Linked DNA regions of Diceros bicornis minor. The protein of the gene in region 2 interacts with the protein of the main gene of each other region in a pairwise test. Links are inferred from orthologs where the notes say so. Each region holds a gene or a part of one and is shown on either strand. Other genes may lie near its edges.

What was found. The genes of interacting proteins can lie anywhere in the genome.
Region 1: the proteins of UBE2D4 (region 2) and ZNRF1 interact in binary tests that used the Homo sapiens proteins (3 or more experiments, as listed by UniProt). The link is inferred for Diceros bicornis minor from reciprocal best matches to the Homo sapiens genes UBE2D4 and ZNRF1.

The regions. Positions count from the first base shown.
Region 1 is NC_080771.1:25,546,857-25,554,448, reverse strand, and holds the start of ZNRF1 (E3 ubiquitin-protein ligase ZNRF1), read right to left. Parts: upstream 3,071-7,592; 5' UTR 2,670-3,070; coding exon 2,246-2,669; intron 1-2,245. UniProt on the Homo sapiens protein: E3 ubiquitin-protein ligase that plays a role in different processes including cell differentiation, receptor recycling or regulation of inflammation. Mediates the ubiquitination of AKT1 and GLUL, thereby playing a role in neuron cells differentiation.
Region 2 is NC_080780.1:1,119,227-1,127,327, reverse strand, and holds the start of UBE2D4 (ubiquitin-conjugating enzyme E2 D4), read right to left. Parts: upstream 3,103-8,101; 5' UTR 3,010-3,102; coding exon 2,986-3,009; exon of another isoform or gene 2,878-2,985; intron 1-2,877. UniProt on the Homo sapiens protein: Accepts ubiquitin from the E1 complex and catalyzes its covalent attachment to other proteins. In vitro able to promote polyubiquitination using all 7 ubiquitin Lys residues, but may prefer 'Lys-11' and 'Lys-48'-linked polyubiquitination.

The sequences.
Region 1 (7,592 bases), on a different chromosome or scaffold from region 2:
CACCACATCAACTTCCAGGCATCTAGTCAATTGTGCACCGAAATCCTTACCCTTCTACTCTTAGGACACAAGAACAAAAACTGCTCGGGTCTTACTCAGAGGCTTCAAAGTGGAAACAAGCTTCTCTTCTTACAGCAATGAACAAGAGAGGAAAGGGGTGTCCTGGAAGGGAGATCCCATGGCCTGTTCCAGAAGGTGAGATAGAAGAGTGGAAATAATGAAGGCTCATCTCAAATGAACTGCACCAGAAAAAATAACTTTAGTTGAATAAAACAACAAATCCCTAAAGCAGAGATTCTCAATCAGGGTGGTATCCCCACCCCTGACAAGAGCATTTGGAAATTTGTGGGGGCATTTAGTGGGCAGGGCCAGGTACACTCAATGTCTTGCAAAAGGACAGGATGGCCCTATAAAGAATGTATTCCCCCAATAGTAACACCAGCCCCCACGCCCTTTCCTGTATTCCCATGGGTTTCACAGCTGAAGAGTCTGAAATTTGGGAATCCAGTTGTAAGCTCATAACTCCAGCATGGAACCTGGTGGTGAAATAAGGAAAATGAAGTTTCTGGTAAGAGACAGACAAGAAATTTCAGCAAAAAGGGAACTCCTTCCCCAGACAAGCATCTATAAGATTACATTTGTTTTGCAGCACACAAAATTCTATGGTTTTAGAGAAGCTTCTTATAGTGCTTTTTGGTTTAAAATCAGATACTAATGACAGTTCTTTTAAAAACTTAACCACAGTCATCTCACAAATACAACTGACTCTTTCTGGATCATATTTTATCAGAAAGATCATTAATTTCAAGATGTCTAAAGCTGATCAAATGCCTAAAAGTGCCAAAGGCAGTCATGCCTTGCATCTACTTCAGGTCAGAGAAGCTCCAACGATATCCAGAGGTCTGTTCAGGGCTTAAAATACCATCCTAGCTATTCAAAAGCTACTTTCAAGTGTTACCCTAAATTAGTCACTATTTTCCCCCAAAAATATTCCACAAATTAAAGTTTATAGTTTGACAAAAGTTTGAAAAAAAATGCAGACTCTTTCCAGATAAAAAAGAGATCCAAGAAGTCTACTCTACTTCACAATAGCTAGAACAGTGATCCGATAGATAAATCTTCCATAAAGCAATCTTTCTTCTACACAATATCTAAATTTTCTCGACTTTCCCAAAGGAGTCTGAATACATTAACTTCTTCACTCCAACTTGCCAATTAGCAAATAGCGGCCCCACACTCCTTTTGACCAGTTTTCTAGAAGCCTAAGCTGCACGTTAGCTGAGCAGACAAACCTGTTTTCGTCCAGCAGCTCTTGCCAGTGCCTTTTCCACCCTGCCAGTCAGAGCCTGGGAAATCCTCCTCCAGCTTTTCACTGGCCTGTCACCAGAAGTTCACAAAATGAATTCATCCAGATTCTCTGAATCCTCTTCTTCCCTTCTTCCCCTATCTTGTGCCAACAGCCAGGCAATAAAATCCCACCTCTCCATTACAAAAAGATGCAGATTACAGGAAGACCAAGCACTTAGCAAGGAAAGGAAGAAAAAAGATGGAGGGATGTGACAGTCATGGAGCCAAGCCTACCGCATGCAGCACGGGCGACCAGAGCCCTGGTCCTGCAAAGCCTCCAGGGGAGGCTCCCTGGCTGGGCCCTCCATTCAGCACGCCACACCTGTCTATGCCAGCAGCCTGCTCCATTTTAAACAATTCAAACAGATCTCCAGCAGGGTGGCAAAATTGGGCATCCCCCTCTCCCAGCAAGAGTGAGAGCCCTAATCCGAACACCACATGCCCCCAATTTTATTTCTTTTCACACTCTTTATTTGGGAGACCGGCTTGGTCAGATGGGATCCCTCTCTCTCCGTTAACGGCGAGGTAGGCACAATGCTGCAGTGACAGAATGGAAGCACTGAGGCCGACTTGCTGTAAACCAGACAAGACCTCTTTGAGGATGCTGATGCCAATAAATGGGATTTCAATAGGCAGGTTTCACTCTGCCCATCCACAAGTGAACCAACGCTTGAAGTCCTAAAATGCCCGGCTCCGCAGCCTCGCAGAATGCCATGCCTCTTTTCTAGAGGATAGGTATCCCATTCATCCCTTGGCTTTCGGAACCAAGGGGAAGACAGACAGATCCAGGTCGTGCACTCCACATCCAAACCTTCGCACGCGCGCGAAGGTTTGGGGAGCCCCGGCGCGCCCTCCCTTGCACTCCACCCTCCGAGGCCTCCACGATCCGCGGACTCACCACTGTGCGAGCTGAACCACCTGGGTGCGATGTGCAGAGGTAGAGCATCCGCCAGCGAGGCTCGGGAGCCCAGGTACAGCATCCCGTCTCTATGGTGACCGCCGCCCGTCTCCTGGTAACCATTGCCATGGGCATAGGTGGAGTCGGACGCGGACCCTCCGCCGCCGGGCGCCCTCTCCGAGTCGCCGGTCCCCCGGGAGGCGGGGGTGTAGAGGCCAAAGGGCACCCCCCCGGCCGTGCTGGGGTCCATGCCCATGCCTGCCACTGAGCTGACCGAGCGGCTGCGCAGCCCCATGGCCCCGCCGCCCGCCCGGTAGTGCCCAAAGTGGGGAGCCCCTCCCGGCGGGGGCACGGCGCTGTCATCGGTGGAGACCCCCGGGAAGGGGCCCCGGGAGCGGGCCGCCGTGCTCTGCTTGCCCCCCATGCTCGGCCGGGCCCCGGTGGGGCGGGAACCTGGAGGCGGAGACCCTCCCCCACTTCTCAGTAGCGAGGGGAGGGTTGGGCGAGCATAAAGGGGGAGGGAGTCAAAAAGGAGACTGGGAGGAAAAAAGGGAAAAAAAAACAAAAAGAAAAAAGAAAAGAAAACCCGCGGAGCGGAAGAGGCAGGCGGGCGGGGATCCCAAACTAAGAATTTAAAACGATCCAAGCCAAACGCATGTTTCGCCTCAAGGTCCAAAGAGGCGCAGTCCGGCGCGGGCTCGGCGCGCCACAGGCCGCCCCCGGGCTCCCGAAAGCCGGGGGAGCCGCAGGGAAGGAGGGAGGGAGGCGGCGGGCGAGCGGGCGGGCGGGCGCAGGGAGGCGCCAGAGGAGGCCGCCCGCCCGACAGGAGGAGGCGGAGGACGGCTGGGGGCGCCGGGCGCGTCCCCCGCCTCAGGACGCCGCGACCATGGACGGCGGACCGGACCCCTCCAGGCTTCGGGCGGGCTGCGGCGCTGGGCGGCCAGGCGGAGCTCGGGAAGCCGCGGTCGCGTCCCGTCGCCCTCTCGCTCCAGCCACCGCCGACCCCGCCAGCCGCGCCGCCCCGCTAGGTCCCGGGCTGTGCTCGCCGGCGCTCCTCGCCGCCGTGGAGACAATGGAGGGCGGCAGAGCGCAGGCGCGGCCCGCGCCCCTTCCCCCTCCCCCTCCCCCCCCGCCGGGTTAACCCTTCGCGGCCCCTGCGGTGCCCGGCCCCTGACGCCCCGGAGGTCCCCACCCACCCGGTCCCGACCGACCAGTGACCTGAGTGACTGGAGCCACGGGGTGTCGGGAACGGAACAAGGCGTCTTTTCAAAGCAAGCACTCGTTAAGTCCCCGAAAGTGGCTAATTATTCAGGGGGAACCACCTATGGGGGAGGGGTGGCGATGGTTCAAGGGGGTGGGAAGGAAACCGTAGGAAGAATGAAAATTACTCAAGACGCCTACCTGGCTCTGTGGGTCACTGGTCAAGCTCCCCTCCCGGCACAAATTTACCCCCACAGCACCCTCTGGTGGACGTGCGGTCCGTTCTTTGGGAGGTTCCCCATCCAGGGATCCCGAAGATCAGGAAGCTTAGCATTTGGGAGATTTTTGGCTGTTTGCGGGTAAACAGCGCCCTGGGGCACTTGCGACTGCGAATTTTGCTGACAGTAATTCAGAACTTCCTATTTTGGGGTTAAGTAAACGGGTAGATTCCTTAGCTAAAATGTGATCCTTGAAGTCATTAGGTGTACGATAAAGAGTGAAAAGATAGAGATGTGAAAATGGAATAATGTAGCTAGAACTAGTGATTTTAGGAACTCCCTAAGTCCAAGGCGAGTCCCCTGTTTTGTTTACCTTTTATTCGGGCATGTACCACAGGGCCTGGGACATAGTGGGTACTTAATAAATATTTGTTGACCAAGTCTGCATTTTGCAATATGTCTCTCTCACAAATTCACATTCATTCATTCAACAACTATTTTTCAAGTGCTGAGGGCTCGATATGAGCATCACCTAGTCCCTGGCCTGACTTCCTTGCTCTAAATGTCCCCAGATACTTCCAAATCAAGGAGCCAAAACAGGGTGTAAAAGAATATTAAGAGAAAACCAAAAAACAGGAGGGCTGGTCTGTCACAGGTATTGATTGTCCCAGTGTGACCCGCTTGGAAAGAAACAGGAGGAAGGCTATTTGCAAGCATGGGGTGCTTGGGAGTGAACTAAAGGCCCTGCAGAAGGAAGTCAAGAGTTCAGTATGAGAAATGCAGGTAGGAAAAAACAAAATGTTCCAATACCCAAGAAACTATCTTTAAGTGCCTAAATGAAGAATTTGTGCACACCTGAGATCTAAATGAGTGATCTGAAGAAAAACAAGAAAGCTTACATTTAACCCAATTTCCTCCCTGAAGAGAGACCATGGTAATAGAAGAGGGGTGGTTCAGTACTGTGCAGAAAAAAGAATGCTAGATCCCTCGACAGAGCTCTATGGGGGAGATAAATACACAATAGTATTGTAACCGTCTATCTAGCTTTTGATTTACCTATTCATTCAACACTTTTTTAGTGTGTTGAACAAAATATGAATGTCTCATAAGTGTCAGGCACTTATGCACTAGGTTCTGGGATAGAGTGGTGAGCAAGACAGATGGAGTCCTTGTTCTCATGGAAATTCAAAAGAAGCACTTCACACCCACTAAGATGGCTCTAATCAAAAAGAACAATAACAAGTGTTGGTGAGATGTGCAAAAATTGGAACCCTCATACCTTGCTGGTGGGAGTGTAGAATGGTACAGCTACTTTAGAAAACAGTCTGGCAGTTCCTCAAAGAGATTAAATATAGAGTTATATGACCCAGCAATTCCACTTCTAGGTATATTTCCAAAAGAAATGAAAACATATGTCTGCAGAAAACCTTGTACATGAATGTTCATAGCAGCATTATTCAAAATAGCTAAAAAGTGGAAACAACCCAAGTATCCATCAACTGATGAAAAGATAAAGCAAATGTGGTATATCCATACAATGGACTATTGCTCAGCCATAAAAAGAAATAAAGTGCTGTTATGTACCATAACATGGATGATCCTTGAAAACATTATACTAAGAAGCCAATCACAAAAGACCACATATTGTATGATTCCACTTATGTGAAATGTCCAGAATAGGCAAATCCATTGAGTCGGAAAAATTAATGGTTGCCAGGGCCTGGAGGAAGGGGAAAATAGAGAATGACTGTTAACTGGTTTCTTTTTGGAGTGATGAAAATGTTCTGGAATTAGGTAATAGTGATGGTTGCACGACCTTGTGAATATACTAAAAACCACTGAATTATACACTTAAAAGCGTGAATTTTATGGTATGGGAATTACAGTGTAATACAGTGCAATTTTTTGGTATGTGACTCTATATATATGAAGTATTGAAGCAGGCAGTGACAATACAGTGTGATAGATAAGTCTAGAACAGTGCCTGGCATGTAGTTGGCACTCAATAAATATTTTTCAAATGAATGAATGAATAACTAAGTCCTATGAGAGTGAAAGAGCATGGTGCTGAGGGAAGGAGACAGGCACAAACACAGTGATTCTAAGCCAAGACCTAAAAGGTGGGTGGGAGATTAGCCAGGGAATGGGGTGGGGGGAGAACTGTGTTTCAGGAAGAGAAGAATGTTCCAAGCAAAGGGAACAGCATGTTCAAAGGCCCAGAGAACATGGCATCTTCAAAGGACTGAAAGATGCAGTAAAGCTGCAATGAGAGGAGCCAAAGATGAAGCTGGTCCTCAGGGACAGACAAGAGGGTCCTGTCAGCCATGGTAGGGAGCATGGACCGTGTCTATATTTTTCTGTTCTTTTCTCTTCTTTTCTTTTTTTTGGTGAGGAAGATTAGCCCTGAGCTAACATACGTTGCCAATCCTCCTCTTCTTGCTGAGGAAGATGGGCCCCGGGCTAACATCCCTACCCATCTTTCTCTACTTTATATGTGGGACGCCGCCTCAGCATGGCTTGATAAGCAGTGTGTAGGTCTGGCCTGGGATCCGAACCTGCGAAGCGCAGGCCGCCAAAGCGGAGCGCACAAACTTCACCACTATGCCACCGGGCCGACCCCTGTATTTTTCTTAGTGTATATATTCATAAAGATACTGGATGGAAACATGAAATGACATAATGTTGTCCCCTGGGGGGTGGGCAGTAGGAACTGGAGAGTTCGGTGACGGGATGGATGAGAAATATTTCATTTCGTTATATATCTTTTTGTATTTTAGTGTTTGAGCCATGTAAATTTATAGAGACCAACTGATAGAGAGGTAGAGGTAAATATAAAGTATATCCCACATGCACAGTAAAAAGTCACACAGCTAGTAGGAGCAGAGCTGGACTTCTAAGCTTTACAGTGAAGGTGCTCATCAAGGAATCTTTGGATGACAATTTCATTTTCTCTGTATGCTTTCCAATGGGGTGAAAAAGATTAGATCTGCTTAACAGCTATATTCCTTTTTGTTTATTAATAATTTGCCCTTAAAGTTTATATTCCAGACTACTGGTTATCATAAGCCGGTCTCTCTCACATTGGGCACCACTGAATAGCTGAGGGCCTGAACTGCGAAGGTGAAGCCTCTATTCTCTGCAATGTCATGACACTAAGCTTAGATGCCCTGTGGGACCCTGCATGGCAGCCTTTCTCAGGCGATGCCCTTGTTATCTCCTTGTGCTTTTATTCAAACGACAATTTTGCCTCTGAAATGAAAATATTAAAATACAGAACGAGGAAAGTTCTTCATTCAGTAGCTTGATTCTACACTTGACATCTTAGAGAGGGTGACTCATGGCTAGCAACAGGCATCCGCGGAGACCTGCAGCCTCAGATCAGTTTCATTTTGTCATTTGTTGTATCAGGAGTCCAGTATGTTTTCCTTCAAGTTTCTCCTGTGGGTTCTTGGTTTAAAGTTAATGGATCTGAGGAGATGTCAAGTCATTTTGGACACTCTCAATGCAGGGATATAGATGCAGAAATGGCCCCAGCTAGATTTGGGACTGTTTTTTTTTTTTTTATCTTCATGTTCTCGCTGACCCTGGGTGAGCTGCTTCCTGGCTCTCCTTCAGCTGTGAAACAGGGTTAAGAAACCACTAACCCATCTACCAGATTAGTCAGAGAAAGAGCTGATAAAAATTAGCGTTGCTGAAGCCTGCAGATGCTAGTGCATACCAATGCTGCAAAGCCCCAGTTTTAAACATCTTCGAAAGAATATAAATCTGAGACTTGAAGGGTTTAGAAAATGGGGGAAATGGCTTGTTAGGGCCTACTCCTGGGACGCCTTGGGAAACTCATGGCCTCCTCTCTGTCTCCACGAGCCGGAGGGAGGGGAGGGCTTCCCGTGGCTTTGGAGGGAGCCCCTTCAGCACCTCCTCTGGGAGTG
Region 2 (8,101 bases):
CTCCTGACTCAGGCCTTAGACTGCTGGCACCACCCCCTTCCTCCTTCCTGCAGAGCTCCTGTTCAGTTCTGGTCTCTTAGGAGACACAGACTCACCCTCAGCTCCAGGTCTAGCAGTAGCCAGACATTCTAAAAGCAGTCTTGGCACTCACTGGTTCAAGAATGAGCATGTAACTTAATTCATAACAAGTAAATAAAGGAAAAAAAAAAGATTTTCTTGGCTCTCGGAGAACTTCTGGAAGCCAGCGTCTCTCTTCTTCTTAGGGGATGCCCAGTGGGCTATGGGGCCCAGAGCTGCTCAGTCCAGAGAATCTCATGGAAACAGAGCAGGAGCCCCAAAGTCACTCCCAAAGTCCTGTGGACCTCCAATTCTGTAGCCAGGGCAGCTGGGCCTCTGTCACTTCCAGCCAAGGCTTCCTAACTTGTCCCAGTGTTGCCTTCTCACCACTGTGCACTGGACACATTTTTCAAGACATTTCCTACCATTGCATTGTTTCTTCCAGGACTTGCTACATAATTTTCAGAGTCCTCATGCAAAATGAAAATACAGGGTCTCTTCTTCAATAATTATTGAATTTCAACATGGTGACTGCAGAGCACTAACCCAGGGACAGGGCTCTTCACAGCAAAGGGCCCTGTGAGACAATATAGGTCACATACCCAGGAAGCCAGCTCTGGTTTCCTCCTTTATTGATTCCTGTCAAGGCAAGTTCTCCCTAGCCTTCTGACTTCAATTACCTTATATCTATGGCTGCCATCTCAGCCTCAAGGTCCTAACTTGTTTCTCCTAGTTTTCCCTTTTATAAATATGATCAGGCTATGTGTTCAAACATCTAGGTTCAAACCTACACTCCTTATCTCCCCAACCCTGCTCCCTGTCCTCAAAACTTCTGATTCCTCATCTTAGGCAATGACACCACCATCTACCCAGTTATCCATCTTGTGGATGGATACACCACATACTCTTCTTCAAGTCCTGTCAATTCTACCTCTGCCATGTCACTCAAGTACTGCCCTTGCCTTGGTATCCATTCCACAGTCATTAATCTGGGCAAAGCCTTTGCTGGACTTTCACAATAACCTCTACTCTCCCTCTGCACGAGTCTCTGGCCCACTCCAGGCCACATCACCGCCAGAAGGATCTTGTTATAACACAGATCTGAGCATGTGATTCACCCGGTTCAAAGTCCTAGGATGACAGATGACCCCTTTAGAGAATAATTTGCCAAAAAAATTCCTTTTTGGAGAGCTAATTATAAAAAATGAGTCACACCCTTAGAGATCCTGTAATTCCATCTCTGGTAATCAAATCTAAGCCTACTGTGCAATAATGCTCATCACAGCACTCTTATGAAGAATTTAGAATATCAATGGCAGTTAACTCATATTTAGTGCTTGATATATACCAAGCATGTGTTAAACATGTATCATCTCATTTAAGTCTTAAAACAACTCTATATAGGACACAGAGGCTGGGAATGATTAAGTGCCTTGCCTGTGGTCCTACCACAGGTGACCTCATTCTCTACCCCAGGTCCCTCAACACCCATGTCCATGTGTTTACTCGCTACAGGTACTGATTAAGTTACTGGTCACTTTCTTACAGAAAGTTAGTGTTAAAAATTATGACTATGAATACTGTTTCACAACATGGAAAATGCTCACGTTTAAGGCTATGTGATAAAAGTGGGATACAAAATACAGTATGATTATTTTCTTTAAAGTATAGGAAAAAGACTGGTAGTAGATATGCTAGGATGTCAACAAATGGTAAGGTGGTAGAATTGGGAATATGTTTTCTTTCTTCTACTACTGTGCATTTTCCAAATTCTAGTTAATATCATGGAAATTAATAAAAGAAATCATAACTAAATCACAGTTGCAAAGCCCTGTATGGGGAGCTCTCACACCGCATCATGCACCAAACAGGAAGAGACCTGCGTGCATCTTGGACAGGAAGTAAAACTACTTTACTACTGAAGGAAGATTTCTCTCTCAACCTAGCAACAGCCCAGCCAATGAGAAATGACAAGCTCAGCCAATGAGAAGCCACAGCTTCCCTGAAATGTTACCTTCCCCCAATGCACTTTCACTTAGAACAGCACCCTCCCCCACCTCTTTCTCTCTATAAAAGCAGCAACCCTCTTTTAAAAAAGTTTTCCGGATTTGCCTATGGTTTGCCATAGCATGTACATTCTGAATTGCATTTCTTTTGGGTATTCTGGAATAAATTCGTTTTGAGGATAAAATAACAGGAATTTGCTTTTTAGTTTGACAATATATTAATCGCCTATAACGACTCCCAGTTACCTACAAGATAAAAAAACAGTTATGCCAGCACTGGCCCTAAGACCCAGTCCAGGCCCATTAACCCACTCCCATCCCCTGCTTCAGCATCCTGCTCCGGTCATCTTCATTGGGCCCCAAGCCAAGCCACGCGGTCTTCCTGTGGCCGAGAACGCCCTTGTCCCTTTTCTCCAGTTGCAGAGTTCCAACTCATTCCTTAGGACCCAGCTCCAACCACGACTCCCCCGCCCAGCCCTCCCGACACTTTTACAAGGGCGAGCCCTCATTCCTCAGACAACCGGCGCCTTCTCGTGGCCCGGGACAGGCAACGACAGAGCCCTGAGTCTGAACATCGCAGCAGGCACCACCGTCAACTCCCCCTGCCGCCCCGCCTAGCCCACCAGCCAACCTGCCAGCCTGACGCAATCCCCACGTGACTCCGGGCACGCCCCTCCAACCCCGCCCCACCGCCCCACGTGACGCTGGCCCCGCCTCGCGCGCCGCGCCGTGCCCTTTTAAGGCGGCGCCGGCGGCAGTTCCGCCCCCCCCCCCCCCCCCCCCCCCCCGGCAGGTGTCGCCGTGGTCTGCCCACCTCAGCCGCTGTTCACTTGGGAGCCACGGCGCCCCCGCCCGCGAATCGAGGCTTCAGACCCCCACGCTTCGGACTCGCAAGAAGCCCTAGCGGGGGAGGGCCCCTTACCTTCTGGATCCGCTTCAGCGCCATCCTACCCCAGCTGCTGGAGACGGGGGCGGCTCGGCCCCGGGCTGCCAGAGGCTGCCCGCTGCCGGCTCGGCCGCGGCGCAGCGCTGCAAGCCGGGAACGGCCGCCTGCGCGTGCGCGCCGCGGGGCACTGTGGGGCCGGCGTCCCGCGGTTGGCGCGTACCGGAGCGGGCGGGCGGAGTGGGCCTGGCGAGCGGGAGCGGCCGCGTCGTCTGTCGCTTGCTGTGTGGCGCCCGCCGCGGCCCAGCCCCCGGGTCAGCGAGGGTCTGGGGAGGCCGGCGGAGAGAGGGACACTCGTTGGTTTAACAGTGACTCGCCGAGCACCTGGGAGGGGCCGGCGGCCGTGCTCCCTGTCCTTGCCTCCTGGGCTCCCTCCCAGGCTGTCGCATACTCCTGAAAATAGTGGTTCTCAGCTCTGCTTTGAACTTAAGTCTGTAAGTATTCATACCCTTTTACGTGTTACGTGTCAAATATGTCACAGCTCTTTCCGTAGAAATACACATAACAAAGTTTTAAATGCAGTGGGCTTGGAGGTGTGCGTTTTCAGTAATGCTTCGGGTGATTTTATGGCGCTGCCTAGGCTGAGAACCACGGCCTTACACTGCACATCCAAACTTGATTCTCTGTCTCCTTCCCTTTTTCCCAAGACCTGGCAGGCATCTAGGTCAGAGTTTTTCAAACTGTGGATTAGGAACAATTAGTGTGTCACGAAATCAGTTTAACGGGTTGCAGCCAACATTTAAAAACTGGAATAATACAGAATACAGAATATTAGTGCATCTCACGTAGTAAAGGTGGGAAGTGTGCAAGTTCCGTTGTGTGTATGTGTGTAGATGATAACACGCATCCTCCAAAATCATGCATTTTTGGGAGTGAAAGGGAAGTGCAGTATAGTTACTCTAGGCCCAAAGGTGTAATCTGGGGTTGTCTCTGGCCAACATATGGTCACCTGTGTGTGTGTACTCAGTCAGAATATAAAATGTATTATAGACGTTTCCACGGTCCCTAGCCGTGTCCCTTGCCCAAAACTCGACAAGGATGCCCCACGGCCTACAAGGATTACATCCTGTCGCATAAGGCTCTTCAAAATCCAGTATGGTCCAGCTGGCTTACTATGAAGGGTTTCCATCATGCTCCCATTACGTTCCTTTACTCGTGGCTGTCCTCTGTCTGGAAGGCTCCCTCTTTCCTTCCACCAAAGCAGAGCCATCCCTCACCTTGCAAGGCGAGCTAAGGCATCACCCCCCTGAATGCCCCTGGTGGAGCACCTTTTTTTGGTGTTCCTGTTAGTCAGTGAGTCGTCCATCCCGGAATTGTTTACGTGGCTCTCCCCTCATAGAACAAATGATCCCAAATTTTTATAAATGTTTATTTGTGTAAGAATATAAACTTAAGTGACAACAATGGTTATCTCTGGATGGTGACTTTACTAATGATGTTAATTTCCAAAATTTCCACAGAGAATCTGCTCACTTGTATAATCCGGAAAAGAAATCCAGGAAAAAGAAAAGAAACGGAATTGTGTTGAATAGCAAATGAAAAATTCCATTTCTGCTTCCTGTTGGTAGTTTAGCACATAGTCTTCTAAGCTTTTTACATAAACTTTTATACATAGTTTTTTATTTTGAAGTAGTTTTAGATGTACAGAAGTATCGCAAATATAATAAAAGATTTAACAATTGATAAATTGGACTTCATAAAAATTTAACACTTTTGTGCTTCAAACAGCACCATCAAGAAAGCAAAAAGACAACCCACAGAATGGGAGAAAATATTTGCAAATCATGTATTTGATAAGGGTCCAGAACATATAAAGAACTCCTGCAACTCAATAAAAAAGACAAACTAATTAAAAACTGAACAAAGGATTTGAATAGGAATTTCTTCAAAGATATAGAAATGGCCGATAAGCACGTAAAACAAAGAAGCTCAATGTTGTTAGTTATTAGGGAAATGCAAATCAAAGACTCAATGAGATACCGCTTCACACCCTCTAGGATAGCTATAATCAAAAGGACAGCCAATAACAGGTGTTGGTGAAGATGTGGAGAATTTGGAACTTGCACACTTTACTGGTGGGAATGTAAAATGGTGCAGCCACTTTGGAAAACAGTTTGGCAGTTCCTTAAAAAGTTAAAGTTATATGACCTTGCAATTCCTTTCTTAGGTTTATACCCAAGAGAGATTAAAACATGTCCACACAGGAACTTGTACACAAATGTTTATAGCAGTGTGATTGATAATAGCCAAAAGGTCAAAACAACCCAAATGTTTAATGGATAAACAAAATATGATATATCCACAAAATGGAATATTTTGGCAATAAAAAGAATGAAGTACTGATATATGCTACAACATGGGTATATTAGATTGCTGTGGTTGATGTAACGAAGTACTACAAACTGGGTGGCTTAATAGAAATTTATTGTCTCACAGTTTTGGAGGCTAGATGTCTGAAATCAAGGTATTGGTAGGGTTGGTTCCTTCTGAGGGCTGTGAGGGAGGATCTTTTTTCCACCTCTCTCTTCTAGTTTCTGGTAGCCTCAGGCATTCCTTGGCTTACAGATGGTGTTCTCCTTGTGTCTTGACATTGTCTTCCTTGTATGTGTGTCTGTTTCTGTGTCCAAATTTCCCCTTTTTATGAGGACTCAATCATAGTGGATTAGGGCCCACCCTAATGACCTCATCTTAACTTGACGTCTGCAAAGACCCGAATTTCAAATAAAGTCACGTACACAGGTACTGGGGATTAGGACTTTAGCATATTTTGGGGGGACACAATTCAACATGTGAACCTTGAAAACATGCTAAATGAAAGAAGCCAGTCGCAGAAGACCACATATTGTGTGATTCCATTGATATGAAATGTCCAGAATAGGCAACTCTACAGAGACAGAAAGTAGATTAGTGATTGCCTAAGGCTAAGGGAGGGTGGGGAATAGGGAGTGATTACTAATGGGTAAATTTTATGTCTGTAAAGCTGTTTAAAATATAATAACAACAATACACAGTTCTTGTATACGCTTCACCCAGCTTCCCCTAATATTAGCATATTACATAACTGTAATGCAATTATCTAATCCAGAAAATTAACGTGTATACAATACTATTAACTAATTTACAGACTTTACTTAAATTTTGCTAATTGTCCAGCTAACAGCCTTTTTCTGATCCAGGATCCGATTTAGGATCCCATGTTGCATTTGCTTGTCTTGTCACCTTAGCATCCTGCAATCTTAGACAATTCTTTAGTCTTTCTTTGTCTTTGATGACCTTGACACTTTTCAAGAGTATGGGCAAGTTATTTTGTAGACTATCCTTCAGTTTGGGTTTTCTGATTGATGAGATTAAGGTTATGCATTTTTGGCAAGACTGTTACAGAGTGATGTTCTGCCCTCAGTGCGTCGTACCAGGAGGTACATGACATTGGTAAGTCTTGTTACTGGTAAAGTCTGATCACTTTAAGTTGATATTTGTCATATTTCTCCACTGTAAAGATAAAAATTTTTCTTTTTAAATTAATAGTAGCTTGGGAGAAACTTTGAGGCTATGTGAATACCTTATTTGTTTTTTCAATCTTACTTTCATGCGGTAATTTTAGATTCCCTTCTTGCCTACGGCAGTTATTACTGTGGTGTTTACCAAATGTTAATTTTCTGTTTCTAGTTTTCTTTCTACATTTATTAATTGGAATTCTACTGTAAGGAAGCGCTGTCTTTTCTCCCTCGTTTATTTATTCAAGTATTTTGTTTATATCAGTGTGGACTCATGGATTTTTATTCTATCAGTTTTAATCCATTAGTATTGTTATTTATATGTTGCTCAAGGTGTCCTAGATTTGGCTATTGAGAGCTTATTGTAGGGAGCCTCTAAGATGACCCCCAACAATCCCCACCTCCTAGTATTCAAGCCCTTTTGTAATCTCCTCTCCTTTAGTGTGGGCTGGATTTAATGATATTTTTGTGTGTGTGTGTGAGGAAGATTGGCCTTGAGCTAACATCTGTTGCCAGTCTTCCTCTTTTTGCTGAGGAAGATTGGTTCTGAGCTAACATCTGTGCCTATCTTCCTCTATTTTGTATGTGGGATGCCACCACAGCATGGCTCGACGAGTGGTGTGTTGGTCTGCGCCCAGGATTTGAACCTGTGAACCCCAGGCCACCAAAGCAGAATGCACGAACTTAACCACTACACCACTGGGCCAGCCCCTAGTGATGTTTCTAATTAATAGAAAAGGTGATGGGATGTCACTTTTGAGATTAGGGTAAGAAAAAGACTGGCTTCTATCTTGGGCAACCTCTCTGGCCCTCTCATTTTTTTGCTGCCTCGCTCCCTTACTCCCTCTCTCTCTCTCTCTCTCACTCTGATGGAAGCCAGCTGCTATATTGTGAGCTTCCCTATGGAGAGGCCCCTGTGCCAAGGAACTGAGAGAGGCCTCCTGGCAACAGCTAGTGAAAATGAAGCCCCTCAGTCCAACACCCCACAAGGAACTGAATCCTGCCAACTCCATGTAAACGAGCTTGAAAGTTGATCCTTCCCCATTCAGGCCTTAAGATGATCCTGGCTCACAGCTTAAGTGCAATCCCATGAAAAACTTTGAGCCAAAAGAACTTGTATTAGTTTGCTAGAACAACCATAAAAAATACCATAGGCCAGGTGTCTTAAACAACATAAATTTATTTTCTCACAGCTCTGGAGGTTAGAAGTCCTAGATCAAGGTTCTGGCTGACTTGGTTTCTGATGACAGCTCTGTTCCTGGTTTCTAGATGGCTTCCTCACTATATCTTCACATGGTCTTTCTTGGTGCGTGAACACAGGTCATGGGGGTGGAGGGAGAGGGTTAGCTCTCTGATGTCTTTTCTTATAAGGACACTAGTCCTATTGGATCAGGGCCCCACCCTTATGACCTCATTTAACCTTAGAGTCATGTGCTGCATAACAACGTTTCGATCAATGACGGACTGCATGTATGATGGTGGTCCCATAAGATTAGTACCTTATAGCCGAGATGTATAGTAGGCTAAACCATCTAGCTTTGTGTAAGTACACTCGATGTTTGTACAGCAAAATCAGTTAATCATCTCTCAGAAGTATCCCC